Callithrix jacchus: one gene and its partners. The protein of the gene in region 3 interacts with the protein of the main gene of each other region in a biochemical or structural test. Links are inferred from orthologs where the notes say so. Each region holds a gene or a part of one and is shown on either strand. Other genes may lie near its edges.

Region 1 (4,944 bases), on a different chromosome or scaffold from region 3:
ATTAAAGAAGACCTAATAAAATGAAAAGACATTTCATGTTGATGGGTCAGAAGACTGAAAACTGCTAAGATGGCAATAATACCTGAATTGGCCTAAAGATTCGGCAAAATTTCTATTAAAATCAGAGTTGCCTTTTATTTTTCAGAAATTAAGAAATAGGTTCTAAAATTCATACGAAAATGTTAAGGGTCCAGAATGTCAAACAATCTTGAAAAGGGGAACAAAGTTGATGAAATCGATTTTTAATTTCAAACTTACCACAAAGCTACAGCAATCAAAATAGTGTAACACTGATATCAGGACAGACATATAGATCAACTGAATAAAGTTAAAAGCACAAAAATAAGACCACATTTATGGTTGACTAATTTTGACAAAGGCCCCCAAAAGAATCAAAGGGAAAGAAATCATCTCTTCAACAACTAGTGTTGGCGTAATTAGATATCCACATGGAAAAAGATCAGTTTGAACTTCTATCTTACATTACATACAAAAAGTAACAATTTGGATGACAGACCTAAATGTAAGCACTAAGAAAACATTCATAAATATTTGTGATGTTCAATTAGCCAATCACTTGGGCACAAGAGATAAAAGAAAAACATGATAAACTGGACATAAACTTCTGCACACAGTAAAAATTGTGAAAAGACAACCCACAGAATGAAAGAAAATATTTGCAAATTATGTGTTTGATAAGAAACTTTTATTCAGAATACATAAAGAACCCTTATAATTCAATAATAAAAAGACAAATAATCCAACTAAAATTTAGGCAAAGAATTTGAAGAGATGTTTCTCCAAAGAAGATATATAAAAGGCCAATAAACATGTGAAAATATATCTATTATAACATCATTAGTCATTAGGAAAACCACAATGACACAATCTCATACCCACTAGGATGTCTATAATCAAAAAGACAGGTAATAAGTGTGAGGTTGTGGATATCTCGGAGTATCTTTCCAAGTTACCTTGGAAAACAGTTTTTGAGTTCCTCAAATTATTAAACAGAGCTATCATATGACACAGAAATTCCACTCCTAGGTACATATCCTAGAGAGATGAAAACATACATGCACACAAAATTTGTACATAATTGTTCATAGCAACATTTTTCATAATAGCAAAAAAGTAGAAACAATTCAAATGTTAATGTGTGCATGAATAAATGCACACATGGTAAATGTGGTATATCTATACAATGAAATATTATTCAGCCATAAAAATGAGTGCATGACTGACACATGCTACCTCAAACACATTTTGTTAGCTGAAAGAAGGTGGTCACAAAAGACCACATATTATGTGATTCCATTTATGCAAAATGTTCAGAAAAATGTCCAAATTGAGGGGAACGAAAAGGTAGATTAGTGATTACCAGGGCTAGAAGGAGCTGGAAATTTAGAGTGACTATAAATGGGCATGACGTTCTTCACAGAGTGATGGAAATGTTCTAAAATTAGATATGAGATGAGTGTACAACTCTAAAAATATACTAACATTCATTGAACTGTACATTTAAAACAGGTGAATGTGATGTTTTGTAATTTACCTCAATACAACATATTAAATGTTTAAAAACTTAAAAATTACTTCATGTTCAACTAGTCTTTCTAGTTGACCTAATCAGAGGCTTGAAGTCAGTCAGCTTCTTGTTGCCTGATTAAATAACAAGTACCATCTAAAATAACTGTATATAACAAAAGATATACATGCCACACTTTAAAACACAATTGTGGGATCTTGAGGAGCCACATTCAGACCTCTCTGAGGCCAAACAAGAGGCGAAAAGATACTACGAGGGAGGCAGGATGCATGGGACAGTGGCCCCATGACACCACCACTAGAGGAAGCAGTGAGAAAATGGCCCTGCATTTTCTCCCACTGAGGATAGAGAAGCTGCAAGTAAATTCATGGTTGGAAGTGAGATGAATAGATTATGTTAGCTGCGGCACTTTGAAAACTGCACATATTAGAATCAGCTGAGCACAAATCAGAATGGCCATCAGGAAGAATGCTGTACCTGTACATAAAAGGCGAATTCCACCCTGAAACACAGAGTATCTTTGGGTGCTGGTAGCCACACCAGTGTGTCACGGATATGTTTGTCTCGCCAGACTCACTTATCTAGGAATTGCCCCTCTTCAAGACCACCCGCCTTCCCATTCTCATAGTAACGCTGGGAAATATCGTCTCGTATTACCCAATTCCCTCTTGGACGTATACGCCTGTTCTTAATGTGGGGAATTCCTCTCTGGCATTTTAGACTGGAAATGAAGAGAATGCCAGGCCAGTATCTCTCCAGAGACTAACTCTGGAATAGGTCAAATGCCAGAGCTCAAGGCAGTTCTGTTTTTACCATGTGGATGCCAGTACCTTCCAATAAATTCCCCTTTCTCCTGAATTGTGTTTTGGTTCCATGTAACCAAGAATCCTAACTGATACTATTCAAGTTTAAATCGTTTTCTGCTTAAATTCTAGTCCATCAGCATTCCCACAATACACAGGACTTGGTTCCACTTAAAGGTGCACATCAGTCCCATAATCAGGAGATGTTAGAGATAGTACCAACAGCAAAGTCGTCTCTACCCACTTATCCTGCCCTCCCCAAGACAAAGGTTAAGGTGATTCTGCTGGGAACACTAGACAAGCAAGTTGTTTGAGGATTACAGTAAAGAAGGTGGATAGCTGAACTAAGTCTGGGAAGTTTAAAGACTTGTCCAAATACCAGAAAAACAAACGATTAGGTGTTGTTTATGGCTGTTATTATAAACCAACCAGATGCAATGTGATATAAAGCTTCTGAAATCCCAAAGAAACGAACAATTTGTTAAATGCTATGTTAAGAGCTTTTGCAAGCTCCATTTCCACTATTTATTTCACTTTGGTTTAATCACATTTTGATTTGCAAAACGAGAAGCATGATGTAGTTGTCTTTATGAAAATCAACTACTAGAATTCCCGAGAATTAAATTAACCAAAGGAATGGAGACACCACAATTTTACTATTTCCTTTTTTAAAATAATGTATTTATTTAGCAAAATACCTAGCTTACCAGGCTCGGTAAAGCTATCATCAAATCTCTAATTCATGTGTACTGGATTCACAACTTCTTTCCAGATTATAGCAAGTTCAATAACCCAACACTGTGGGGGAAGTCAAGGTACTCACATACAATGTGTCGTATTCTGATTTTAGAACAAAATGGTGATATTATGTACTTGACTATACCCTTAAGATAAAATCTAGAACTAAAACAAACAGGTATACTATGAAAAATATTAAGAATTCTAATGGTGATTACCATAGAAAAGTGTTGCTAAAATTGTGCTAGCAGTAATAATGATAATAACAATGGAAAAAGTAACAACAGAAATAATAAACCATCTAGCCCAAAGATATGTAGAGTCAGGGATGTAACTGTGTTATGTACAGGAGTTATGATTTTAATATTTATCACTGTAGGGTACATCAGATTTGCATTTCCCTAGCATATTCTCTTATTTCTTCACTGGTTAAATCAATGCCATATTGTCTACCACATGTGAAAGGCCATTAATTAAGTTATTACACCGAGGGCAGACATAACAAAGGCGTGACACCTTTGTACACTCAAGGATGACATTCAGAGATGGAGGATAAAATCTCCACAAAAGAGATTTAAATGCATGTTACCTAATATCCGAGAGGTCGCACTTGTTTCCGGCGATGGCCATTACGATGTTTTCCGGACCATGTTCTTTCAGCTCCTTGACCCATTTCTTCAAGGTATAAAATGAATCCTAAAACAACAGTATATACACATCATTGGAAAGACCCCTCAATATAATATTTCAACCAAGTAGAAATACAAACCCAGTACCATTTAATGGAGAAAAATATTTTTAGGAGACTCATGCAGATTAACACACTACCTCTGGCTAGGCACAAAAGTTAATGTTAGCTGAAATACACTTAAATTGACCATATAAAGTTTTCCAAAATTAAAACTCGATCTAGTTAGGAAAACTGTATCCTTGATTTTCTCCTATAAATTTATATAGCAAAATCAATTTAAAATGATAGCCTGGACTCCGCACATGAGTAAGAATAACAGGACTAAGTAAATGCTCATGCTTACTTACACCTAGAAATAAACATATATTTAGAGTCCTGTCTTCCCGTTGAGCCTTCACTCACAATCGTCCTCTAGAAAACAGGTGGAGGACAACACGCCACATTTAGGTAGAAGAGGTCAGGAATTCGTGGAAGATAACAGTGATAGGTCATTAAACTAACAGTCGTAGGTGCTGAGGCAACACTCCAGAGGAAAAAAGTAAATAATTTAAGTTGCAGGAGTCAGAAAAAATGTCATCAAACCACTGCAGTTACTTGTTGATGGAAGTCTAAGACCTTCAACATGATAAATAAAAATACATTTATATTATATGAACACACACATATTAACTTATATACACATAAACGTTATGCTTGGTATTTTAAGTATGTAGTATGACTGAAACACTAACAAAAATAAGTATTCCATAATTATAAAGCATGCAGAAATTAAAAACAATTTTCCTTTTCTTAAAAAGTTGACATTCTGCAAAATAGTACCAGCAGACATGACTTTGCCTCTACAGTCAGTTTTAAGAATGAATGGTCACTGTTGTTTAATTTAGCAGATAATGTGGGATGTTTTGTTACATATACATGAAATAAACTCAATATATAGTGGCAGGCTGCTGGCAAGATGCAAGCAGTGACATCTCTGCTTCAGTCTCTCTAAGTGAGACACCTGCCATAAATGGCATCTAAATTCTGAAGGAGACATTCTTACCTGCTTCGTAATATCATACACAATAACAGCAGCAGCCGAGCCTCGATAGTACATGGGAGCCAACGAATGAAACTGTTTAAGAACAATGAAAGGTTTTAGGCCAAAGTGAACAGACTTTATT
Region 2 (5,554 bases), on a different chromosome or scaffold from region 3:
GTGACTCAATATGCATTTGCTAGAAGCTGGTAGCACAGTCCTGCGTGCACCTTGACTCACTCGGTCCTCTCTGCAGCCCTCGTGCCAAAGCGGCTGCCTGGCCCACAGAGGCCTTGGCAAAATATGGCCGGATCAAAGAAATAAAGCGCAACAGGGTCTATGCGGTGCTGAGCGGTTCACAAAGCACTTTCTCACACGCCAACCCTGTCACTGGAGGAATGAATGGGCCCCTGAGGAGTCAGTGGCACTCAGCCAGGCTGGTGAGAACCCATTCCAGGGAGCCACAGGGCCAAGTTCACACCACAAAATGATCGATGGGGCTTCTGAGAATAGATTTTGGCGATATGTTACTTTTGGCAAAATGTTAAGGACTGAGTGGCAGAAAATGAACAGCCACTCAATCCTTGGTCTATAAAGAAAACCCAGAGGTGCCCTCAGCCAACACGGAATCGCTTTTTTTTTTTTTTTTTGAGACAGTCTCGCTCTGTTGCCCAGGCTGGAGTGCAGTGGCACAATCTCGGCTCACTGCAACTTCTGCCCCCTGGGTTCAAGCGATTCTCCTGCCTCAGCCTCACGAGTAGCTGGGACTATAGGCAAGTGCCACCACGTCTGGCTAATTTATGGAATTGTCTTTAAGCATTGAGAGATTCTGCTTCAGGATTAGACAGCCCAGTGTGCCTAGGCTTCCTAAAGCATACCCCACCTCCTGCCATGCGTGCACAGGGACACACAAAATCAAGGAGCACTGTTAGGTTGGCTAAGCTCCACAGTAGCGCTCTGCCCTACACTCCTGCTGGGTTTTATTAACACGCCAAATTTAATTAGGAAGTGCAAACTTTATGAGACCTAAGAATTATGAGGCCTGAACTTCAAGGTCACGGTGAATTAGACTTTCCTAGAAGACAGAAGGCTACAAATGGAAGGAGCGGAACGCTGGGGTGGGAGGGAGGGATCTTGGGGTCACCTTGCTAGGTTAACTTTCACCAAGTCATATCCTCATCTGCAAATGGAAGATGGCCTCTTTAAAGCTTTAAAGTAACTCTAAAGAGGGGGTTTGAGGGGAAGGTGCTGAGGCTAGGAAACTGGGAACTGGGTAAATGCAAGCCACAGTCTGCCCACAGTTGTATTCTTTTTTTTTGAGACAGGGTCTCGCTCTGTTGCCCAGGCTGGAGTGCAGTGGCGCCATCAGAGCTCACCGCACCTTGACCTCCTGCGCTCAATCCACCCTCCCACCTAAGCCTCCTAAGTGGCTGGGTCTACATGGGTGAGCCACTATGCCTAGCTAATTTCATTTGATTTTTTGCAGAGATGGGGTTTTGCCCTGTCGTCCAGGCTGAATTAAAGCCACTTTTTGATTGGCTGGGGCACAAGGGTTACCCTAAAGCTTGGCCTTGGAGTGGGGGAGGGGGAAGAATTCAGAAACATCTGTCTTCAGAGGGTGGAAGCTGTCACCACAGGAGCCATTCATTTGTTTTCTCTAGATGGCCTCTGGTTGTGATGACAACCCCTTATTGTCTAATTCTAGTCCTCAACCACCAGGGCACTAGCCCAGGCAGACAGCGTCACTCCTGCTCTGAAGACAGCAGGGGTCAGAGAGGGGTAGTGCACGTTCAAGGGCCAGCAGCAACTAGGAACCAGACATGATGATTTCCAGTTAATTCTCTCTACTTTACATCTGGCATATAACTGTTTCATAAAGTGCAGCTCCTCGAGGGGGGCAAGAATGGAATTGGCACATTATCATGAGATTTAGGGAGATAACACGATTCTGTTGAAGTCACACATAAAGCAAAGGCCATTCTCTATGTTTTCTTGACTTTGAATAAACTCCTTGACTTAGTGACCGTTCCCTCACTATCCCCATCCCTAGCAGGGCTGCAGAGCTCACAGGCCACTCTGATCGGTGTTACTCCCAGGTCTAACCTTTTCATCGTGGGCCAGGACTGCTTCTGTGGCGCTGAGAGAGGTCAACTCTACTTCTGTGGACATCACAACTGAGACATCACAACAAGCCAATTTTGTTCAACCACGATGTGGGCTGGCCCTACGGGAAAAGCTGTTCTAAATTGACAACCGGTGTCCTGGGCCCTTTGATAGGGAAGTCAAGGCTGTCTGTGGCAGTGGCTGATTTAGTTTCTCATTGAGGGTTTTATCTTGCATCTTCTTGGGGATGACAGGTCCCAGGGCAGGCAGCACTGTCACTTGCCATTGCTGTCATCCTGGAGCAGGATAAAAGGCAGGCAGGGAAAAGGTCCTGACTCCTCTTATCATTTCTTCTAGAGGAAAATACACTTATGGGGGAAAACATGGCAAGGAGAGGGACTCAACCTCTGGATGCTCCAGAGAAGAGGAGGAATGGTGTGAGTTAGAGTCCCGGCTCCAAGGTGCATTAACTGAGTTTGTCATCAGCCAGGGGTGTGTGGTGCTAACTCTCTAGAAGAGCTAAGCCTCGAGTTTTGGGGTGAGACACAGCCAGGATTAAATTCCATTAAATCCCATTCTCACCACCTGCAGACTGTGTGGCCTTGGATAAGTCCCACGCCCTCCCTGAGCCTCAAATTACTCATCTGTGAGACGGGCTCATAACAGCACTTAAAACACCGAAACTAGAGTGTGGAAATGCACGTGAAGGACTTGGCACATAGCAATTGCTCATTAAGGCGACATGTCACCGTCTTTTTCCCACAGCCAATTCCTCATGACTCAGTTTCCACCTCTGTAAGACAGGAACCGCAAAAGAACCGCTTCGAGGGCTGCTGCTAGGACAGACCGAAAGGACGGGTGCGAAGACGCCTGCCCAGGACATAACACTCCCTAACGAGCGGGCTGAGGATGGGAGCCTCAGTCACCCCATCTGCAAAATGGGCACCTGGTCTCCCCCGCCACGGCCCATGAACCCCGAAACGGCGGTGCAGGCGGCTGCTCTTCTCCCTTCGACCCTCTCAGAGCCCTCGGCCCGCCCAGCAGGGTAGATTTCTCAGCCCCAGCCCCTCAGGGGCGCGCCCAGCCCGGGCCTCCGGCGCCCCTAGCCACTCCCGGATCCCGCTACCTATGGTGGAGATAAACGTGGAGTTGAAGGCGTCCTCGGAGAAGCGGAACAGGACACAGGTCTTCCCCACCCCCGAGTCCCCGATCAGCAGCAGCTTGAACAGGTAATCGTAGGTCTTCGCCATATTACACTCTCTCCCCGACAGGAAGTGCAGCTAGCGCCTATCCACTGGCCACCAGCCCCGTCCATCAGCGCCGAGCCCGCCCCTTATTGGCTCCAGGCCCGCAGCGTGTCACCGCGGCCGACACTCGCCCCTGAGTCCCGCCCGCCGCGGGGAGACCTGGGGAGGGGGCGAGCGTAGCGCGGAGCCGGAAGCAGCCCGAGCGTACCTCCCATTGGCCAGCACTGATATGAGGACGGGCTCTGATTGACCAGCAGTAAAGAGTCGAGGGGCTTCAAAGGGGGACGAGACGGGGGCGTGGCATTATGTGGCCCCTGCCTCCACCACAGACTCGGCGGCCCGGCCCCGCCCCAAAATGGGAGAGGGAAAGCAGCGAGCAGCGCCAACGGCTCGCGCGCCGACAGTCTGTGGGCGGGGCTTGGGGTGCGTGCGCACGCGCACCCGGAGGTCCGTTAGGCGCCAGCAGAGGGCGCACGCGCATAGTTGGGGAGGGTATCTCTGGGTCTCGCCCTCACAATTCGCGCAGCCTCAGTAGGCGCCGAAGCGAGCGCGGGAAAGGACTGAAGAGCTTTTTTATACGTCTGTGGTCTGCCGGGGCAGCGTGAGCCGAGGGAGGAAGGAGAGAGGAAGCGCTGTATAATCGAAAAGTGACCCCCGAGGCGAGATCCGAGGTCTCGGCTGTGGCTTGGCAACCTGCTTAGAGATACCCAAGCTCTCCGCCACCTGAGCGGCGTCACCGCCACGAGCTGTGCCCCAAGGCGCGCGCCGTCCCCCTCAGGGCCCGCCCTCGGCCGCCTTAGGGGTTGTCCGGGCCAGCCTTGCGGGTTAGGGCAGTGAGGATGCTGGGTCCTATCTAGGGTCGGCGGTTCTGTGTCTGGTGGTCCTCTCAACATTGAAAAAACAGACCGTCGCGGTGGCTTCCGCCTGTGATCATAGCGCTTCTGGAGGCCGAGGCGGAGGATCGCTTGAGGCCAGGAGATTGAGGCTCCACTAGCCTTGATTGCCCCACTGCACTCCAGCCTGGGCGACAGAGCGAGACACTCGAAAAAAGAAAAGGAGGGATACATTAGGAAAATCGGGCTTGCAGCCGGGTCTGGTGGCTCATGCCTGTAATCCCAGCAGTTTGGGAGCTGAGGCAGGCAGATCACTTGAGGTCAGGAGTTCGAGACCACTGCATTCCAGCTTGGGTGACAGAGCGAGACTCTTTCAAAAAAAAAAACAAAACAAAAAAACTTAAAAAAAATTAGCCAGGTGTGGTATTGCATGCTTGTAGTCCCAACTACTCAGGAGGCTAAGGTGGGAGGATCCCTTTAGCCTTGGAGGTCAAGGCTGCAGTGAGCCATGATTGCACCACTGCACTCCAGCCTGGGTGACAGAGCAAAGCCCTGACTTAAAAAACTTTAATCCCAGTACCAGCCCAGCAAAATGATACTGTTTTTTTCCCATTTGATGGTGAGAAAACTGAAGCCAGAGGAGGTTAAGTGACTTTTTCCCCCTCCCCACTCAAAAGTAGAAGTTGGTATCAGAATTCAGAGTGCCAGTCTTCCCAGGCTGCAATTTGCTCACTAGGGCTTCCTGCTTCTTAGAGATGGCCCAGTCTCTCTTAGGTCACTCTGGGGCCTCCAGGGCCTGGAGGCTCACTTAAGGGTCTGCAGAAGGATGGCCCCAGCCTTTCCTCCTCCCTTCCACTTCAGCTCATTCTGCTAATATAGCTCTGGCTAAGAAAAGCTTCAACAAGAGCCACTGACCACTTCACAGGCCTCAGCCTCTGTGGGATTTGAAAGTCTTGACCACCTCTGAATAGTCTATTTTTTCTTGGTATCATCCTCATTTTATTTATGTACTTATTTTTGAGACAGGGTCTTGTTCTGTCGCCCAGGCTGGAGTGCAGTGGTGTGATTTTGCTCACTGCAACCTTCGTCTCCAGGATTCAAGAGATTCTCCTGCCTCAGCCTCCCAAAAGAGCTGGGATTACAGGTGCCTGCCACCACACCTAATTTGTATTTTTAGTCGAGATGGGGGTTTCACCATACTGGCCAGGCTGGTCTCGAACTTCTGGCCTCAAGTGATCTGCCCTCTGCCCCCTGCCTCTGCCTACCAAAGTGCTGGGATCACAGGTGTGAACCCCACGCCTGGCCCTATCTCTATTTTATTTGCTGGTTTCTTCTCCCTACCACCTCTCCCTCCCTTTCTTTGATTGGTTATTTTTCTCAGACCCCAATGCAGTCTTTTTTGGGGGGCAGGGGGTGGTTTCTGCTTGTCCCTTAGAATTTGTGTTTCTCGTGTTCTGTCTCTGTTCTCACTTTCTGGGTGCTCCTAATGTCTCCACGCTGACCAGTCTCATTGTTTGACCCTTAGCCAAGCCATCTCTTCACATCCATCTG
Region 3 (4,944 bases):
AACATAGGGAAGGAATCTTTTGTTAATACAAACTATAGCCTGCATAATACTAACTTTAAATGACCTTCCAAAATATTGATTTACCAAGCACACCAGATATTAGCTAGTAAAGGTGGTTAATGTTCAGATTATCTTTAACCAAACTCCCTAATAACCATGACTTAAAATGTAGCCATATTGTGCATGCAAGTATACTTTCATCACCACTAAATTATAGGAACTCACATAAACTCCATCATACTTTGTGTCCAGTGTGTAATGAATCAATATTGATGATTATTTGCTACTTAATATTCTAGTTAATACAACAGAAAAATCTATCTTAATTCTGAAAAAGAATAAAGATGATTACAAATGGTAGACTTTCATCTGTTTCCTACCTGTGCTAATCCCAACTATTCTAGGAGTTGCAAAGTCACTGTCATGAAAAGGGCAGGAAGGATGAAAAATAATTATGTCAGTTATTTCACTCTGCATTTGGTGGGAAAAGGATCTTTCTAAAACAGGACATAGAGAGACAACACATACATTAAACTCACTTCTGGCTTCACCAACATTTTAGAGCAAATACAATAGAGGGCAGGTACCATTATTGATAGCATCATCTCATGAGATTTGAAATATGATATTGGGTTTTGGGGGAAAAACATGAAAATTATACCTGAGGAATCATTTCTGAAGGTTAAAATCAAGTCACAACAGTGGGAAGGTATTAAAGATGGGGTACTAATTACTTCAGATTTCTTGCTTACTCTTCTACACTAATGTAGGTTGAGTATCCCTAATCCGGAAATCCAAAATGCTCCGAACTCTAACCTTTTTTGAGTACTGTCATGATGATCAAAGGAAATGCTCATTGGAGCATTTCAGATTTCCAGATTAGGGAAGCTGAACTGGTAAGTATATAATGCATACATTTGAAATCTGAAACACTTTTGGTCCCAAGCATTTTGGATAATGGATAATCAACCTGTATAGACAATTTCCTCATCAATGAGATACAGAAATTTAATAACACTGAAATGCAACAGACTGTGAAAAGAAATCAGAACCCTAAATCCTACAAAATAAAAGCTTTAAAAGAAAAATGACATACAATTTAATAAAAACTCAGAAATTATATAATTAAAAATGACCAGTGTTCTATTATTTTAACCCTGCATCACTCGTACACAAAAAGGAAAAAGGCTTCCCGCCGGGCACGGTGGCTCATGCCTGTAATCCAGGGGAGGCCGACGCGGGCGGATCACCTGAGGTCAGGAGTTCAAGACCAGCCTGACCAAGATGGTGAAACCCCGCCTCACTAAAAATATAAAAAAATTAGCCAGGAAAGTTATCAGGTGCCTGTAATCTCAGCTACTTGGGAGGCTGAGGAAGGAGAATCACTTGAACCCGGGAGGCAGAGGTTGCAGTCAGCTGAGATAGCACCACTGCACTCCAGCCTGGGTGACAGAGCGAGACTCCATCTCAAAAAAAAAAAAAAAAAGGCTTCCCAAAGAGCCATTCATTCCTCTAATGACTTTGGTTACTTTCTTTTCATGGGCAAACATGGTAGAATTACCTGATACTATACTTTACATAAAACCTTATGCCAGTTGACCCTCTTCTGGCCAATCCCAGAATTAATATGAAAAACTGCAAAGGTTTTCATATTAATGGCAAAGATATTCTAATACCTTCATTGACTTTGACCAAAAATAATGATAGGTTCCAGTTTACACGAGGTAAGGGGGAAGAAGAGAGTATAAAAGGGATAAGTTTAAAAAGAAAAAAAAAAGAAGAAACCAGACGAATGTAGGAAATGGTGGAGACTTGACTGGACATTTGTACTGGACTCTTAAAAAAGTCAGTGTCACTAAAGAAAGTAAGTGGGAACTGTACTACTGCAATAGAGACTTCAGAGACCTCACCAAATATTACATGAACCCGACTGGATTTTGGTTTAATAAAAGGTGTAACTGGCCGGGTGCAGTGGCTCATGCCTGTAATCCCAGCACTTTGGGAGGCCGAGGCGGGTGGATCACGAGGTCAAGAGATCAAGACCATCCTGGTCAACATGGTGAAACCCCGTCTCTACCAGAAATACAAAAAATTAGCTGGGCATGGTGGCGTGTGCCTGTAATCCCAGCTACTCGGGAGGCTGAGGCAGGAGAATTGCCTGAACCCAGGAGGCGGAGGTTGCGGTGAGCCGAGATCGGGCCATTGCACTCCAGCCTGGGTAACAAGAGCGAAACTCTGTCTCAAAAAAAAAAAGGTGTAACAGAAATTCTTGGGACAACTGAAGAAATCTGAATATGGACCGAATGTTAAATGATACTATGGATTACTATTAGTTTTCTTATACATAATAATGGTATTGCGCTTAAGTTTGTCCTTTCTGTTAAGAGATGCAGGCTGAAGTGTTTAGTAGTAAAGTGACATATTGCCACTTAATTTTCATGACACAGCAAAAAAATCTGTGTGTATTATACATACAGAAGGCATGTGGGGGTGTGCTGTACTGTTCTTTCCATTTTTCTGCACATTTGACATTTTTCTTAAGAAAAAGCTGGGACAAAGAAAGCTGGGAAATGATGTTTGAGATGAAGGAAAGGGGGTAGGAGAAATAAGGAAAAATAACTTCATCCAAAGTGCATTTTAAAAGGTGAAATAGTAAAATATGAAAGACAGAAATATAATGTTAGGAGGGAAACAATTATCATGAAAAACAACAGAATGGTAAGATATGAATTTTTGAAAAAAATGGTTCTCTCTCAAACAGAGGTAATATACTCAGTCATGAGGGCCCGGGGGAAATAAGTATAATTCCAAAAAGAATGCCAGGGCTGGACTCAGTGTTTTAATCTGCTATCTGAGTCACAGCTGAAACAATTCCATGGCAACAGAACAGATCAGACTCAGACAAGCCAGAGAAGCCTGCTCACTGGTCTAGACCTCCCTGCTAGATAGATACAATCACTGGCTCTGGCCTAAAGACCATGTGAATACTAACAGTAAGAACAATGTATGCTGTCACCTCACCTAATTTTCTTTGGTAAAAGACCAAGAATATACTTTTGTAGCCCAAAGAGAACTGCATACAATCCAACAATATTTTCATTTAGAAGGAAATTTCTTAACACAATGAACTTTATTACTAAATCAATTTATGTTACTGAAGATAGTAAGTACTTCCTTCATAAAATTATTAATATTATAGCTTGGCTTGGGGAGAGATGGGAAAATCAACCTCCTTTCCTTTCTTAAGCACGTCACATTAAATAAGTATCAAATTTCAATGTACAATATAAGTATCTGGAATGCGGATAAAATGCAGATTTGTAAGCTCCACATCCTGAGATTCTGATTCTATTGCCAGACGTGAAGATGCCTGTAATCAGCTCCCCAGGGATTCTGATTTAGGTACTCCAGGGTTCCGGTAGAGTTCTATGCTTCCATAAGTAGCAAAGTTTGACTCTGATTAGATATAATGTGGTGTTAGTAAGGAATACTAAGCTGGGAGTCAGGAAATCTGGGATTTGTTACTAACTGATGGTATTCGACTTTGGGCAAGTCAATGTCTCTGTGCCTCAGTTGTCTCATATGCTCTGGGAGGATAATTCTGCCCGCCCCACTTAGCATACCTCACGTACATGCTAATTTATACAAAAGTGACTGAAGAATATGAAGAGCTTAACAAATAAGCATTCTACCTTTGAGAGGGGAGTCTTTAATCTTATTTGGTGAGCTTAGTATTATCTATTGTACTCCCAACAAGAGCCAACTGCAGATTAATCCCCCCTCTTTCCTTAGGCTTAACCTAATCAAAAACAGTGCTAGAATAGAGTGACATTCTTATCATTTGACATTCCCTGCAGCCAAAAGAGGACAGAAAGCACAAAGAGACATCACTTAAGTATTATGAAAATTAAATGTAAAAGAGGTGTATATCTTGAGACAGTTCTTACCAAGTCTATGAGTTTAGTAACTGGAACTTCCCGGATTGGTCTTTTCATGCGGCACAAAGCCTCTAAAGATGTACCAAAACAGCTTGGGAGGTAATTTCCACTGATGGTCAAGAAGTAATCTTTGCCTCGATCCAGGTGAAGGACAAGAATATCTTCAATCTTATCTTCCCCTGAGTTCAAGATGGTTACAGAGTCTTTGCTGACATACACATCAAGAGAAATGTCCACTGTCTCATCTGAAATGTAAGAGATGATACATGGTAATAGAAAAACTTCCAATGGGAAAGCAAAAAGAGTATAAGAACCAACAGAAAAGTGTCCTCTAAAAAAATCATTAAGCAATGATGGGGAAAAGATAGGACACACAATAGAGGTATAACCAATATGACAGTAAAGGTAAGAGACATGTGGTTAGAAAACAGGAAGTTATACCAAGGATGGGAGTCATGAGGACATCAAGCAGAGACAACGGTAAAGGGAAAACTCACTTGGCTCCAAGTAGCCCTCAAAGGGTTCAGCCCGAAGCCATGGCTTGCAGTACTGGCTGTCATTAAGTTTAGGGATGAAAGAAAAATGGCAGGGAACCTGTCCATTGTTGCTGATCTGGAACTTCTCCTTTTGTAGTTGCCGAAACTTCACATTTTCAAACACAAACTGGGGAATAACAGACAGACACAAACATGCATCACTAGTAGGGGAAGTAAGTCAGTTGGATTATTCCATGGAGGATATGAGGAATAAGGTAATTGTTAAACAGGTGTGCAGATGCCATAGACATTCACCAACTACACCAACTTCACAGCATCCACTTGCATATATTATTATACTCACACCAGCAGAGAAGGAGTTAGGTGGCTCTTGCTACTTCTCCAGGCTACTCTGATCATTCCTAGGATCCTAAGAGGGTAACCCAACCTTGGTTCAGAGCATTCATCCTGTGACCAAGTCATGGTTTCTGAGATATGAATTAACTAGCAAGTCTGAAACATTAAACAAG
Region 4 (4,944 bases), on a different chromosome or scaffold from region 3:
TGTCTTAATGTATTTGTTGCAATTTCTTTGTATTTTATTTGACATTTTTGTACATGTATTATAGAAAAGATTGGTGATCTTTTGTGGTATCTTTAACTGGCTTGAGAATTGGATCATATTTTCTTTAAGACAACATCACTAATATAGTTGGCTCTGTGAATTTGTAAGTTCCACATTTATGGATGTAACCAACTGCAGGTTGAAAATATTAAAGGGCAAAAAATTCACTTAGCTCCAAAAAGCAAAAATTAAATTTGCCACACACTGAATACTATGTTGAATCCATGTGGATGAAGTGATGCTAGGTATTATGTTAGGTGTTATAAGTAATCTAGAGATGCTTTAAAGTATACAGGAGGATGTGCTTAGGTATATGCAAATACTTTGCAATTTTATATCAGGGACTTGAGCATCCTCAGATTTTGTTACCCGTCGGGGGATTCTAGAACCAGTCCTTCATGATACCTGGGGAGGTCTTGGAAATAGTCCTCCACTGATTCTGAGAGACAACTATGGTTATTTCCCTGAGCCTGAAGTTTACTTATGGATGTATAAATGAATGTTTTTACTACTAGTATACTGTGTGGTCATAGCATGTCTAAAAATGAAAACAGTCTGTATATTTTAATTTTCTTTTCCAAGTTTGCATCAAACTATACTTGAAAAAAGGCTTATGTATTGTGATTTATTTTCCTCTTTTCCTTTTTGATAAGAAGTACTGTCTTAGGGGCTTAATTTTAGTTTTAAAAAATTTTTCGATCCTACAGGAGAACTTCTCATGACCTTGAAAAAGTGACACAGTGTTCTCTGGGTATCCTTTACCATAAATGCAGTTTATTATAAAATGGATAATTCTGCTAATTGTTAGTTAAAAAAAAGTTTGAACTGGATTAGAATATATTTACAGTATGATTAGTGAAAATTCATAAATTAGAATTTAGGTGAAAGTAAAGACATTTACAGTATTGTTTGCAAAATTCAGAAGATTTTAGTTGTACTAAAGCCAGCAACCAGTTAACCTGAAAGAACATGAAAAGTAAATGTTAAGTCTAATATAAAAGAGCTATATCTCATTAGATTTCATTTTTTAGCACATTTGATACTAGTTAGTAAATCTCTATCAACATCACTAGATAAACTGCTGTAATTTAGAGAAATATATCGTAATTCTTTTGCATAATATGACAGTTTTAGAAAATTGAAATTCAAGTCCATACCATTTTGGGAATAGGGTTTGAATATCACACCTTGAGGTAAACATAGAAGGAAGGGAGGAGCATACCAATTAACAGTGAATGCTAAGAGCAGCAGCAGAGGGAAGTCTAAGCGGGGTACAGTGTGACATTTTGATACTAGAGTAATAGAGGAGAGGGATTGTTGCTATCAGCCATGCTGGCAAAAATGGCTCTGTGTGGGCCTTTTAATTTTAACAATAAAGTACTATTTAATAATGCTACTTTCTTATTGTTAGAATCAGGAAAAATACAGATCCAGAAATTCTTATGGTAGGGAGTGAAAGAGGTAGAAGCAAATATTGAATCAACTGAACAAATTAAATCTAGGTTAAGGTAATAATGACTACCAGAAAATGTCTCTCAGAAAAAAAAAAAAGAAAAAATATATATATGTAAATAAATATTAATTTGATGATAATGGACTGGGACTAAATTACCAATGTGTGCCAATAAAAACTAGTAAAATGGAACAGGACATGGTATTGGCAATGTAGATGGTAGTTAGAAGCATACTGGGTTTCCCCCCATTTTTTAAGACTATCAGTGCATTTCTTTAATTGTGAAGCAATTTAGAAATGTAGTCTTGGCTGGGCATGGTGGCTCATGCCTGTCATCCCAGCACTTTGGGAGGCAAAGGTGTGCAGAATACCTGAGGTCGGGAGTTCGAGACCGGCCTGGCCAACATGGGGATATCCTGTCTCTACTAAAAATAGAAAAATTAGCCAGGTGTGGTGGTGAACGCCTGTAGTCCCAGCTACTCAGGTGGCTGAGGCAGGAAAATTACTTGAACCTGGGAGGCAGAGGTTGCAGTGAGCCAAGATCACTCGAGCCTGGGTGACAAAGTAAGACTTTGTCTTCAAAAATTAAAAAAAAGAAATGTTAATCTTAAGCTTATTTAATTATTATTATAACAAACTTTTTTAACATGCAGAAACTTTTCAATCTGATTTCACTACAAAGGCCTTATATGTAAGCATATATGTAAATAGCTTAGAAGCATACATTTGTCAGTATTTAAAGCCATTATCAACTGCAGTCTAAGTTTCTAGGTGTTTGTTTTTTTTTTGGTTTGTGTTTTGTTCTTTGGGTTTTTTTTATTAAACCCTCATTTATTACTTTCCACTGACACGTAATAGTTGTACGTGTTTGTGGGGTACAGTGTGACATTTTGATACATGTATACAACCAGGTGTTTTCTATATTGTGAAAACATTTGGAGAAAAATGATTAACTTATTGCAGTCCTTTTCTTTCAGCTGCTTTTCTAACCCAAACTGTATGTCTTGATGACACTACAGTAAAGTTTGAAATATGGGATACAGCTGGTCAAGAACGATACCATAGCCTAGCACCAATGTACTACAGAGGAGCACAAGCAGCCATAGTTGTATATGATATCACAAATGAGGTAAGTACGGATGCATTCCACAGTGAAACTAACCTTTCTGCTGAAGCTTTTGTGACTTAGAAAATCTGGTTTAAAAATAAATAAAATGAAAATATCTCATAGTACAGTAGTCCTAATAATTTCTTTTCCACAGTCGCTTTGGACAGTCTTTTAAAGCCTTGTATCACAAAGATGTTTCCTAACCATTTTTTGAGCCTATGTCAAATAGTTGTTTCTTTGTTTAACAGGAGTCCTTTGCAAGAGCAAAAAATTGGGTTAAAGAACTTCAGAGGCAAGCAAGTCCCAACATTGTAATAGCTTTATCAGGAAACAAGGCTGACCTAGCAAATAAAAGAGCAGTAGATTTCCAGGTATGTTAAATTTAATTTTCATTTGAAAGGCACTTTTCTTCCTGTAAGTTTTTCTTTTGTGTCAACACTTGAATTAGTTTTAATGTTACAGCCATCAAAGTAATAGAAAATACAGATTTTTTAAAACAAATATGAAGTACTACATGTAGTAAAACACTTCTTCTGATAAACCTAAATTTGTAAATATATTATTGTAATATATAAACTGATTCAAAGATTTTGTAGACTTAAACAGTAAAGGCTAAGTGTGGTGGCTCATGTCTGTAATCCCAGCACTTTGGGAGGCCAAGGCAGGTGGATCACCTGAGGTTGGGAGTGAGAGACCAGCCTGATAAACATGGAGAAACCCTGTCTCTACTAAAAATACAAAATTAGCCAGTTGTGGTGGTGCATGCCTGTAATCCCAACTACTCGGGAGGCTGAGGCAGGGGAATAGCTTGAACCCAGGAGGCAGAGGTTATGGTGAGCCGAGTTCACGCCATCATATTTCAGCCTAGGCAACAAGAGTGAAACTCTGTCTTAAAAAACAAACAAACAATAAAAGTAGTCATTGTTCCCAGTGCAGAAAGTGATTGTATCCTGCTCTAATTCCTCTGTCCCACACATACTTTATGTCCTTCCTAATCCTCTTTTACTCATCTTCAAGTATGTGTCAGCACACGTGTGTACCCACACATATACATGCCCACACACTTGTGTGGTTGTTTTTAAAGGGGCATTGAAAAATAAAGGCTCTGCCAGTCTACATCTGGAGTTGAAAATAAAAAACTAAAAAATAACTTAAAAAAATTTTTTAAGGTTCAAAAAATTCAATATGTGTCTTATAATTGCTAATTCAGAATGTTTGCTGCCACAAAATAGAGCAAGTGCAATCACTTAAAAACAAAGCAAGTCCTCTACTTAGACCTTTTAAAACTGCGCCTGTTCTCTTGCTCTTTGGCTTCTCTACTAGAAGGGTGGTTGTCCTACTGTGTATATATCCGTGATGGAATACCTGTATTCTTGCATCATTAGGTACTAAGCTGAGCATGTCACACTTGTAATTTTATTTAATTCTTATGAAAATGATGTGAGGTATAGTATCATCTATTACTCTTTCCAAAATTGTTCCCTCCCCAGCACAAGAGTGATAAAGAAAACACTTACGTTACAGTCAGAAGTGGCCCGGTCACATAATAGTTCAGAGTAACCTCAGTTGTTTCTTTGTCCAGTGGGAAAGATAATTGGTTACCCCTCACAACAGCTATGAGGATCAAAAATAATAATAATATATGTAAACTGTAAAAGCATGACAAAAATGTAGGGCAGTGATACAATTTTCAAAGGAAGGATACATGATATATTCAGGATTATAATGTTGCTGTAGAAGTCATTGAAAATTAAATATGAGGTTGTTATTTAATGGTTGAAGCCAGTGTTAGATACTTGGTTTCCCTTTGTCTTCATTGCAGATAATAAGTGGAAATAAAAAGATTGCCATTGAGATCAAAGAGAGTTTTATTTAGAATAAGATAATTCTCCCCCATCTCTGGAACTCAGTATTTGAAAGCAGATTTAATGTAAGAACAGATTAATCAAGGTGGGATAATGCCAGAAGTTCAGACAAAAAAAGAAATCGTCCATTATAAAATTATTTTGCACAGTACTCTTATTGTTGTACTTATTACACAGTTGTTGATTATAGATGATTATAGTAGACAATCAGGTTGGAGTAGTAATAAGTCTCCTTTTCTGTAACAAATATAAAGCAGGTGTAGTGTATTTCCAAGAGATATATCTCATTTTTTGTTCTATAAACAGGAAGCGCAGTCCTATGCAGATGACAATAGTTTATTATTCATGGAGACATCAGCTAAAACATCAATGAATGTAAATGAAATATTCATGGCAATAGGTAAGATTAATCTCTCTTTTAAAATGATCAATATAAGTAAAAGTAAGTGTGCAGCATG
Region 5 (4,944 bases), on a different chromosome or scaffold from region 3:
TTCTGTTCCCCGCCGCCCAGCATGGGCTTCAATCAGAACCGCGGCCCCATGGGTCCTGGCCCGGGCCAGAGCGGCCCCAAGCCTCCGATCCCACCACCGCCTCCACACCAACAGCAGCAGCAACCGCCACAGCAGCAGCAGCAGCCGCTGCCACCGCCGCAGGACTCTTGCAAGCCCATTGTTGCTCAGGTACCCGGTCCTGCTCCCGGAGTAGGCAGCGCGCCGCCAGCCTCCAGCTCGGCCCCGCCCACCACTCCGCTGACCTCGGGGACCCAGCCAGGGTCCGGGCCAGGCCCGACCCGGACCCCGCTGACCGCGGTCACCTCGGCCCCTCCCCGGACGCCGCCACCCACCCCGCCAAGCACTGGGGTCCCTACCACGCCTCCTCAGGCAGGAGGCTCGCCGCCTCCTCCCGCGACGGGCCGGGCCCAGGTCCGGGGACTAAGCAGGGCCCAGGCCCGGGCGGTCCCAAAGGCGGCAAAATGCCTGGTGGGCCAAAGCCAGGTGGCGGTCCGGGCCTAAGCACTCCTGGAGGCCACCTGAAGCCGCCGCAACGAGGCGGCGGTGAGCGTCGCGGGGGCCACCAGCACCACCCGCCCTACCACCAGCAGCACTACCAGTGGCCCCCCGCCCGTTGGGCCCAGCGGCCGCAGCAAGGAGAAAATCTCGGACTCGGAGGGGTTTTAAAGCCAACTTCTCTCTCTTGAGGAGGCCTGGAGAGAAAACTTACACACAGTGATGTCGGTTATTTGTTGGGAATCTACCTGCTGATATCACGGAAGATGAATTCAGAAGACTATTTGTTAAATATGGAGAACCTGGAAAAGATTTAATCAACAAAGGCAAAGGATTCGGATTTATTAAGCCTGAATCCAGAGCTTTGGCTGAAATTGCCAAAGCTGAGCTCGATGATACGCCCATGAGAGGTAGACAGCTTCGAGTTCGCTTTGCCACACATGCTGCTGCCCTTTTTGTTCATAATCTTTCACCTTACGTTTCCAGTGAACTGTTGGAAGAAGCCTTCAGCCAGTTTGGTCCTATTGAAAGGGCTGTTGTAATAGTGGATGATCGTGGAAGATCTACAGGGAAAGGCATTGTTGAATTTGCTTCTAAACCAGCAGCAAGAAAGGCATTTGAACGATGCAGTGAAGATGTTTTCTTGCTGACAACAACTCCTCGTCCAGTCATCGTGGAACCACTTGAACAGCTAGCTGATGAAGATGGTCTTCCTGAAAAACTTGCGCAGAAGAATCCGATGTATCAAAAGGAGAAACTCCTCGTTTTGCCCAGCATGGCACATTTGAGTACGAATATTCTCAGCGATGGAAGTCGTTGGATGAAATGGAAAAACAGCAAAGAGAACAAATGAAAAAAATATGAAGGATGCAAAAGACAAATTGGAAAGTGAAATGGAAGATGCCTATCATGAACATAGGCAAATCTTTTGCACCAAGATCTGATGAGACAACAGGAAGAATTAAGACGCATGGAAGAACTTCATAATCAAGAAATGCAGAAACGTAAAGAAATGCAATTGAGGCAAGAGGAGGAACTACATAGAAGAGAGGAAGAGATGATGATTCGTCAGCGTGAGATGAAAGAACAAATGAGGCGCCAAAGAGAGGAAAGTTATAGCCGAATGGGCTACATGGATCCAAGAGAAAGAGACATGAGAATGGGTGGCGGAGGAGCAATGAACATGGGAGATCCCTATGGTTCAGGAGGCCAGAAATTTCCACCTCTAGGTGGTGGTGGTGGCATAGGTTATGAAGCTAATCCTGGAGTTCCACCAGCAACCATGAGTGGTTCCATGATAGGAAGTGACATGCGTACTGAGCACTTTGGGCAAGGAGGTGCGGGGCCTGTGGGTGGACAGGGTCCTAGAGGAATGGGGCCTGGAACTCCAGCAGGATATGGTAGAGGGAGAGAAGAGTACGAAGGCCCAAACAGAAAAACCCCGATTTTAGATGTGATATCTAGGCTTTCATTCCAGTTTGTTTTGTCTTTTGTTTAGATACCAATCTTTTAAATTCTGACATTTTAGTAAGAAAGCTATCTTTTTATGGATGTTAGTAGTTTATTGACCTAATATTTGTAAATGGTCTGTTTGGGCAGGTAAAATTATGTAATGCAGTTGTTTGAAACAGGATAATTTTTTTTCTTACTTCCTTATTTTTTCTTTTTTTACTGTATAATGTCCTTCAAGTTATGGCAGTGTACCTTGTGCCACTGAATTTCCAAAGTGTACCAATTTTTCTTTTTTTACTGTGCTTCAAATAAATAGAAAAATAGTTATTAAAAAAAAAAAAATACATGGGGGTGATAAAACAGGATAGTGGTTGCTCCTAAGTGTGGGGAGAGGGAAGAGATGCATACCGGAAGTGTGAGTCTTCCAATTCAGAGTTCTTCATATTGTTTATGTTATTGTTTTTCAAAAGTTCGTAAAAATAAAGGTCTATCTGTTTGATTCTATTCTGCTAGTATGTAATATCTTGAAATATTTTAGTTGTTTTTATCAGAACTCAAAGTAACTATGTTCTCTAGAAGACAAAATTTGTTCTTAAAGCATTTATAGTGTCCAAATAAATTCTCAGGTAAAGAAAGAGTTTGTGCATAATTTTGTCTACATACTTTCCATAGTATCTTTAAACAATTTCTTTTATCTCTTTTTTTGCAGATTGTAGATGTCTTTATGGAATACAATCTAATTCAGCAATGTACCGCATTCTTGCTTGATGCACTGAAGAATAATCGCCCATCTGAAGGTCCTTTACAGACGCGGTTACTTGAGATGAACCTTATGCATGCGCCTCAAGTATGTGTTCTAATGTTTTTTAGGCATGTTTCCAATATTGCTTTAATAATTGTGCAGAGCATCTCAGATTGTTATTCAAAGCTACTGAGATGCCTACTCCTTATACAAGAAAATTTAGCTATTATATATTCTTTTGTACTTTCTTTTATCAGTTCACTATTAAACCTTAATATGTAATATGGATATTGAATTACTCATATAAATGGGATGGACAATAAACTTACCTTATTTGTGGTTTTACAGGTTGCAGATGCTATTCTAGGCAATCAGATGTTCACGCATTATGACCGGGCTCATATCGCTCAGCTGTGTGAAAAGGCTGGCTTACTGCAGCGTGCATTAGAACACTTCACTGATTTATATGATATAAAACGTGCAGTGGTTCACACCCATCTTCTTAACCCTGAGGTATTTTAGTTTCTTACCTAATAGATGGTGTTAGTTGTGATTAATAGGCACACTGAAAATGTGTTTGTAGTACTAAATATTAATAATTTCATACCTCCATGAGTTTCAACATTGTTTCATTTATTCATTCATTCATTTATTTTGTCTTGTAGTGGTTAGTGAATTACTTTGGTTCCTTATCAGTAGAAGACTCTCTAGAATGTCTCAGAGCCATGCTGTCTGCCAATATTCGTCAGAATCTGCAGATCTGTGTTCAGGTGGCTTCTAAATATCATGAACAACTGTCAACTCAGTCTCTGATTGAACTTTTTGAATCTTTCAAGAGTTTTGAAGGTAATTAGGAGTTTTTGAGTTTGTAAAAAGTACTTAAGATAGCCAAGAAGAGGTATGCTTATGATCAGGCTATTGGAAATTTTGTCTTTCTAAAAATTTGGTTCTATGGGACATTTTAATTTTTTAAGTTTTGTTATTCAGTAAATGTTGCCAGGCGTGGTGTCTCATGCCTGTAATCCCAGCACTTTGGGAGGCCGAGGTAGGCAGATCACAAGGTCAGGAGATCGAGACCATCCTGGCCAACATGGTGAAACCCCATCTCTACTAAAAATATAAAAATTAGCTGGGCGTGGTGGTACGTGCCTATAATCCCAGCTACTCTGGAGGCTGAGGCAGGAGAGTTGCTTGAACCTGGGAGTCGGAGGTTGCAGTGAGCCAAGATTGCGCCACTGCATTCCAGCCTAGCGACGGAGTGAGACTCTGTTTCAGGGAAAAATAATAATAATAATAATAATGTCATCAAGGCCCTTTTATATTGGATCCTAAGGATATGCAGTGAACAAGACCATCTGTTTGGATATTTTATAGATGAATTAAAGGTAGAATTTTAAGAGAAAAATATGTAGTGATGTTTAAATTGTAAAAAGTGAAAATACAGGTTGAGTGTCCCTAATCTGAAAATCCAAAATGCATCAAAGTTCAAAACTTTTTGAGTTCAAAGGAAATGCTTGTTGGAGCATTTCAGAAATTGGATTTTCAGATTAGAGATGTTGATCAGGTAAACATAATGTGAATATTCCAAAGTTCAAAAATCTGAAACATGTCTGGTCCCAAGCATTTGGATAAGGGATACTCAATCTGTACTAATGATCAGGTTTAATAACATTTTATGCTTATATATCTGAGTCTTATAATGGCAGGTGATTCTAGCCAAGGGCATTTTGTGGTTTGTCATTAGCAGGATTTCTCAACCTTAGAACTAAGTAGACATTTAAGGCTAAACAATCATTGTAGAGAGGTATTCCCATACTTGTAGAATATTTAGCAGCATTCCTGGTTTCTGCCCACTAGAAACTGAGCCCATCAGCTCCAGTTGTGACAACCAAAAATGTCTTCAGACATTGTCAAATGTCACCTGTGAGGAAAATCACCTCAGTTGAGAACCACTGCTGTACAGGGTACTAACATAATCACTGTTGGGTGACTAAGTTCTGGTCCCCAGTTACCTTTCTCTCCTCTTTTTAGTAGTAGTGCTCTATTGAGAAGGGGTAAGAGATTCTACTAGTTTTCTTCATTTTCCCAGTTTCAAAAATGTTAACTCTGCACTAAATTTACACTGTTTAGTACAGTAGACACTAGCCATATGTAGTAGCTATTGCCATTTAAAGTTATTAAAATATAAAATTTAATATTTAGTTACTCAGTCACTCTAGCCACATTTCAAGTGC
Region 6 (4,944 bases), on a different chromosome or scaffold from region 3:
TGTGGACACCTGCACTAGTATTCTGGCCTCTGACTTTCATTTCTACAGTAAAGGGTTCAGCCATGGTTGTCCTTTTGTCTATAAAGAGCCAGATAGTAAACGGGTTTTTTTTTGGCTTTTAGGGCCAAAGGTCTACTGCAGCTATTAAACTCTGCCATTACAGTAAGAAAGTATAGCTGAGTTCCAATAAAACTTAATTTTTAAAACTGGTACCAGGCTGGATTTGGTGGGAAGGACACAGTTTGCTGGCTTCTGTCCCAAGGCAAAGGTATAATTAAGAGTAAGGAGGCAAAAGCAGAACTTAACATACTTTTCTTAATATGTCCTATTACTGCCTCCACCAGGGCTACATATTTAAAGTTGCAGCCCCTCTCCCCTAACCCTCCAACAATACCCCCATCAAAAAAAGAGTCTTCTGACTCCCCAGGAGTTCCTCACATTTTTTGTTATTTTTCTGGATTCCATCCATATCTGGTACAGGTCTAGGGAGGGAGAAGCATATGCTAATTAACCATCTTGGTAGGAATGGGAAACCAAGTCAATAATTGTTTTCTTTTGTGTTTTATTTATATATTTTTGGCAGCAAAAATGTGTTTATTAAAAAAAATCTGGACTATGAACACACTTTGAAGAACTCCAAGCCAAATAAAAAGACCAATGTTAAAAGCAGCATAACTGGTTATTTTCTTAAAAATACATAAAAAGAATCAAACGCAACAGTGTAGGAAGACAATCACCCCTGTGTCAGAAGTCACAACTTCTTCCAAATAAAGAATATGACCCATCTGCCATATTGAATCAATATTTATTTCAGGACATGCCATGTCAAAATAAAACAGAGTCAACCCTTGCTTTTAACAATTATATTGTATTATAAAAGCACTTTACAACTCCATCCCATCTTTAAGTATAAGTTACTGGTATGTGGGCTAATGATTATCTGTAAGCATTTCTCTATTCAGATCCATAATCCAAGTGCTCTTTGAATATTACAAGGTGACAATAAGTGGGAAGTGGAGGAGGAAGAGGAAAGAGAGGGGACTAAGGTTCTCCCAGTTTAAGGTTTTGTTGCAGTGAGGGAATAAGGAAGTATGAAGGTATTTTTGTTGTCTTTTTATCTTTATACTGTGTTAAGTAATGCTTACAACGTAAATTCAGCAGGCTTTTCCTGAGCTGTAACTCAGAAGTTTTCTTCCTGCAAACAATGTATTTACAAATGTGTTTATTAGCTTACACAGCAATCTCACAATAACTAGTAAAGATTAAAAGGGCACACTCCTAGTATATTTGTTTGCAGTGTTTTAAGGGAAATACATATTGCCATGGTGAAGCTCTAAATAGATTCAACAAAACATCTAAAAATTGAAAGTTGTTAAAAAAAAAAAAGGCAAAGAAATAAATATCACCAAAGAAAAAAGATTAATTGTAGCTTAAATATAAAACTAAATCACTAGTTAATTAAACTATACAGATCTAATACAAACCAAAACCAGCTTGAAAGACCCAACATTAAAAAATGCTAAAAAATAAGGCATAAATCTGCATAACATTGAGTTTTATTTCCATTCTCTCCTTTCCCTCTACTATGCATGCTTTACCTGATCTGCCTCTAGGGGCTTATAAGAAAACGGCTTCCGTCTTCATTTTGACCTCAAATGTCCTGAGCAAAGTTTTTGCTATTCTCCTGAGGGTTCTTTTGTTGGTAAGCTTTAGATACCATTAGTTCTACTAATTTAGTAGTTTTGATCATAGTGCCAAATTTAAATTCTTCCACTGGTTCTTCTGAAAGGAACTGAACTTTTACAGTGCCTTGCCTACATAGTATTTTTTTTTTTATAAAGAAAACCCAAGCAAAATCTATTGCTTAAAGAGGTTTGTTATTATTTTTTAAACAAACAGAATAACTCCTAACATTTTAAAACCTTGGGAGAAACAGTTCATTAGAACTTCATTATTTTACCATGAAGAATACTAAAAACCTGTTCTGAAGCACTTGGTTAATTTTCTCTCCCAGGGTCTAATAAAGCACATGTGAAAGGGCCATTTGTTTTAGTCAGAAATACATTTTATGTTCTTCTACTTACAAGTACTCAGTATGTTCTTTAGGACTCATTTTGAAGATGCACCAGGACCCTTTTCTCATTCAAGCACTGCCTACCATGATAGTTGAATTCTGATCCCAAAGAAGATCTAAGTAATTCATATCAGTGCTCAAGAATAATTTTGGACATTTTGGCCCATGGCCTACAGGAAGTGGTATCTGTAAAATTAAAGGATAATTCCAATGGGCTTGGTCTGACTGCTGCTTTGCCATCTCATTTGTTTTGAAGAAGTGGGGGAGGCTAGGTAAGATACAGGGAAAGGAGGTAAGAGAGACATAAGAAAAGCAAGGAGAGATCAAGTAAGCTGTGAATATACTGCTTATTAACCAAGCCATACTCCTACTGTTGAGATTTCCATCATTTCGAAGTACATTATCATAACATTAAAAAAAAGGAAAAAATGTTAAGAAAATGTATCTAATTTTTAAAGTTATCACTGGAATATGTTGTAATATTTTGGCTTTTTGTAAAATAGAAATAATGAAGACACTGACTTTTTTTTGTGCTTGTGAAGCTAAAAGATCATCTCCACGAGACAGGCAGCAATGATGAATTGCAATACATTATTACTGAAGGGAAAAGGTTCAAGCCAATATTCACACTGCAGTCAATGAAAGAGTAAGGGGGCCAAAGCAGTGAGCTTCTGAAGAAGGGTTGAAGATGACATGGGAGATTAGCAGGAGCAGCCGCCTTCACTGACTGGTTGCTCCTGAGGCTTTTCCAGTTTTATGTCAATCACTGAAACAAAAGTTAAGGAGCCACAAATGGGAAAGTACAGTTTCAATTCTTCCAAACACTAGGATTTCTGGGATGGCCCTTATATTCCTATTTGACTTCAGAGCCTACACAATCACTATTTTCTACATAGCCACCTCACCATATAAGGTGCTCAAATGGAATAAACTTGCTTGTATCTACTATACACAACAAGGATCAGAATGAGGTACAAGCTCTATTTATGGGTATCTATCCTAAGGAACTTATTCTATAGGAGCAAGAAGTGACATGAAGATGATGTTCCTCATAGAATTATATATAATATAAATCTAAAAATAGCCTGTAAGACAGTTCCAACAGCAGGGGAAACATTTAATAAATAATGGGACTTTCAGGCCGGGCACAGTGGCTCATACCTCTAATCCCATAACTTTGGAAGGCTGAGGCAGTTGAGTCATCTGAGGTCAGTAGTTCGAGACCAGCCTGGCCAACATGGTGAAATCCCATCTCTACTAAAAATACAAAAATTAGCTGGGCATAGTGGCTTGTGCCTGTAGTCCTAACTACTTGGGAGGCTGAGGCAGGAGAATCACTTGAACCTGGGAGGCAGAGGTTGCAGAGCAGAGAGCCGAGATTGCACCACTCCAGCCTGGGCGACAGAATGAGACACTGTCTCAAAAAAAAAAAAAAAAAAAAGGGCATGCGGGACAAACTTCAACTCAGTAGTTAACATATTATGTTTTGAAACATGATACATATTACAAAGCATATGATATGAAGAACATATTATGTTTTTTTAAAACAATTATGTTTTTTATGAGAACATAAAACATTTACAAGAGGGAAGAGCTGAATACAAAGTGCTATGAACTATATGGCTTAGTAAAAATGCCTGCATATGGAAAAACACTAGAAAGTAAATATGAAACATGGAACACAACAAATTAAAAATCCTTAGTATTAACTAATGTTAGATGTTCTAATCCTTGGAAATGAACTAATATTATGTCCTGTTTCTGAAAACAGAGGCTACAATAAAGCTCCACTCTATTTCTTGCCTGTGTGAAGTAGAAAGCTCAAGTGTTAGAAAAAGAAAGAAATGAAAATATGATATTCTACGAGGAAAAAGCCCAGAGTCAATGGGACTCAAAATGAAGAGACAAGGAGACAGGCATTCTGAGAGTTTCCTGCTCATTAAAAAGCAAGCAAACACACATTAGCCTCTCACTGATTAACAATGAGTAGCAGGCTACAAAGTGTACACTTGGATAACCAGACCCCATTGACCCCATTTGCTATAGAAAACCTCTGAATTATGCCCCTAAGCCATCAGTTCCTGGTTTGTAAAAGGCAATGGCATAATATTCTTTAGCCAAGCAAGCAGGACTTTAAAGACTAATGTTAACAATGAAAAATTTCTGATTAAACAAGGATACTGTCTTCTCTGCTTCTGTCCTGTGTGCTTTCCATTCCAGGCAAAGCTGCTGCTACACGTCGAAAGAGCTGTGGGAAGAGGGAAAAGTGGTAATTGAGAGGCAACATTTAGCAAAGGGTATTGGGGTTTATGATCACTGTACAGTGAGCTGTCTAATGCTGGGCGCAATGGCTCACACCTGTAATCCCAGCACTTTGGGATCTGCCCAAGGTGGGCGGATCACTTGAGGTCAGGAGTTTGAGACCAGCCTGGGTAACACGGTGAAACCCTGTCTCTATAAAAACCACAAAAATTAGCCAGGCATGGTAGTGCACGTCTGTAGTCTTAACTAATGGAGAGGCTGAGCCTGGAGGACTGCTTCAGCCCAGGTGGAGGCTGCAGTGAGCCAAGATCATGCCACTGCACTCCAGCCCGGGCAACAGGGCGAGACTCTGTCTCAAAAACAAACAAACAAACAAACAAATGTCTATTCATCCTATAAATATTAAATAAAAACTAGTATGACAACTACTAAGAAATATAAAGGACATGATTCCTGCTTTTTAACTGATAAGACATGAACAAATAGCTATTAACAAATAAGCTGCAAAAATGTCATTTGAGTAATAAAGGATTACAGAAACGCAGAAAAAATAGCAGATCATTCATTTAACAAAATGTATAGTAGCATTCCTATCTTTCATGTAAAGA

Evidence for each region.
Region 1: the proteins of OCRL (region 3) and RAB31 form a complex in vitro, tested with the Homo sapiens proteins (2 studies listed by BioGRID and IntAct, with this or other methods). The link is inferred for Callithrix jacchus from reciprocal best matches to the Homo sapiens genes OCRL and RAB31.
Region 2: the proteins of OCRL (region 3) and RAB8A form a complex in vitro, tested with the Homo sapiens proteins (2 studies listed by BioGRID and IntAct, with this or other methods). The link is inferred for Callithrix jacchus from reciprocal best matches to the Homo sapiens genes OCRL and RAB8A.
Region 4: the proteins of OCRL (region 3) and RAB5A form a complex in vitro, tested with the Homo sapiens proteins (2 studies listed by BioGRID and IntAct, with this or other methods). The link is inferred for Callithrix jacchus from reciprocal best matches to the Homo sapiens genes OCRL and RAB5A.
Region 5: the proteins of OCRL (region 3) and CLTC form a complex in vitro, tested with the Homo sapiens proteins (2 studies listed by BioGRID and IntAct, with this or other methods). The link is inferred for Callithrix jacchus from reciprocal best matches to the Homo sapiens genes OCRL and CLTC.
Region 6: the proteins of OCRL (region 3) and RAB6A form a complex in vitro, tested with the Homo sapiens proteins (2 studies listed by BioGRID and IntAct, with this or other methods). The link is inferred for Callithrix jacchus from reciprocal best matches to the Homo sapiens genes OCRL and RAB6A.

The regions. Positions count from the first base shown.
Region 1 is NC_133514.1:53,105,241-53,110,184, forward strand, and holds part of RAB31 (ras-related protein Rab-31), read right to left. Parts: intron 4,896-4,944; coding exon 4,824-4,895; intron 3,787-4,823; coding exon 3,680-3,786; intron 1-3,679. UniProt on the Homo sapiens protein: The small GTPases Rab are key regulators of intracellular membrane trafficking, from the formation of transport vesicles to their fusion with membranes.
Region 2 is NC_133523.1:14,725,525-14,731,078, reverse strand, and holds the start of RAB8A (ras-related protein Rab-8A), read right to left. Parts: upstream 3,188-5,554; 5' UTR 3,174-3,187; coding exon 3,050-3,173; intron 1-3,049. UniProt on the Homo sapiens protein: The small GTPases Rab are key regulators of intracellular membrane trafficking, from the formation of transport vesicles to their fusion with membranes.
Region 3 is NC_133524.1:125,243,146-125,248,089, reverse strand, and holds part of OCRL (inositol polyphosphate 5-phosphatase OCRL), read right to left. Parts: intron 4,602-4,944; coding exon 4,436-4,601; intron 4,184-4,435; coding exon 3,948-4,183; intron 1-3,947. UniProt on the Homo sapiens protein: Catalyzes the hydrolysis of the 5-position phosphate of phosphatidylinositol 4,5-bisphosphate (PtdIns(4,5)P2) and phosphatidylinositol-3,4,5-bisphosphate (PtdIns(3,4,5)P3), with the greatest catalytic activity towards PtdIns(4,5)P2.
Region 4 is NC_133518.1:58,488,943-58,493,886, forward strand, and holds part of RAB5A (ras-related protein Rab-5A), read left to right. Parts: intron 1-896; exon of another isoform or gene 897-997; coding exon of another isoform or gene 998-1,019; intron 1,020-2,490; coding exon 2,491-2,642; intron 2,643-2,869; coding exon 2,870-2,992; intron 2,993-4,138; coding exon of another isoform or gene 4,139-4,235; intron 4,236-4,792; coding exon 4,793-4,886; intron 4,887-4,944. UniProt on the Homo sapiens protein: The small GTPases Rab are key regulators of intracellular membrane trafficking, from the formation of transport vesicles to their fusion with membranes.
Region 5 is NC_133506.1:94,240,489-94,245,432, forward strand, and holds part of CLTC (clathrin heavy chain 1), read left to right. Parts: exon of another isoform or gene 1-2,308; intron 2,309-2,677; coding exon 2,678-2,815; intron 2,816-3,058; coding exon 3,059-3,223; intron 3,224-3,375; coding exon 3,376-3,556; intron 3,557-4,944. UniProt on the Homo sapiens protein: Clathrin is the major protein of the polyhedral coat of coated pits and vesicles. Two different adapter protein complexes link the clathrin lattice either to the plasma membrane or to the trans-Golgi network.
Region 6 is NC_133511.1:67,303,477-67,308,420, reverse strand, and holds the end of RAB6A (ras-related protein Rab-6A), read right to left. Parts: intron 4,323-4,944; coding exon 4,256-4,322; intron 2,841-4,255; coding exon 2,776-2,840; 3' UTR 787-2,775; downstream 1-786. UniProt on the Homo sapiens protein: The small GTPases Rab are key regulators of intracellular membrane trafficking, from the formation of transport vesicles to their fusion with membranes.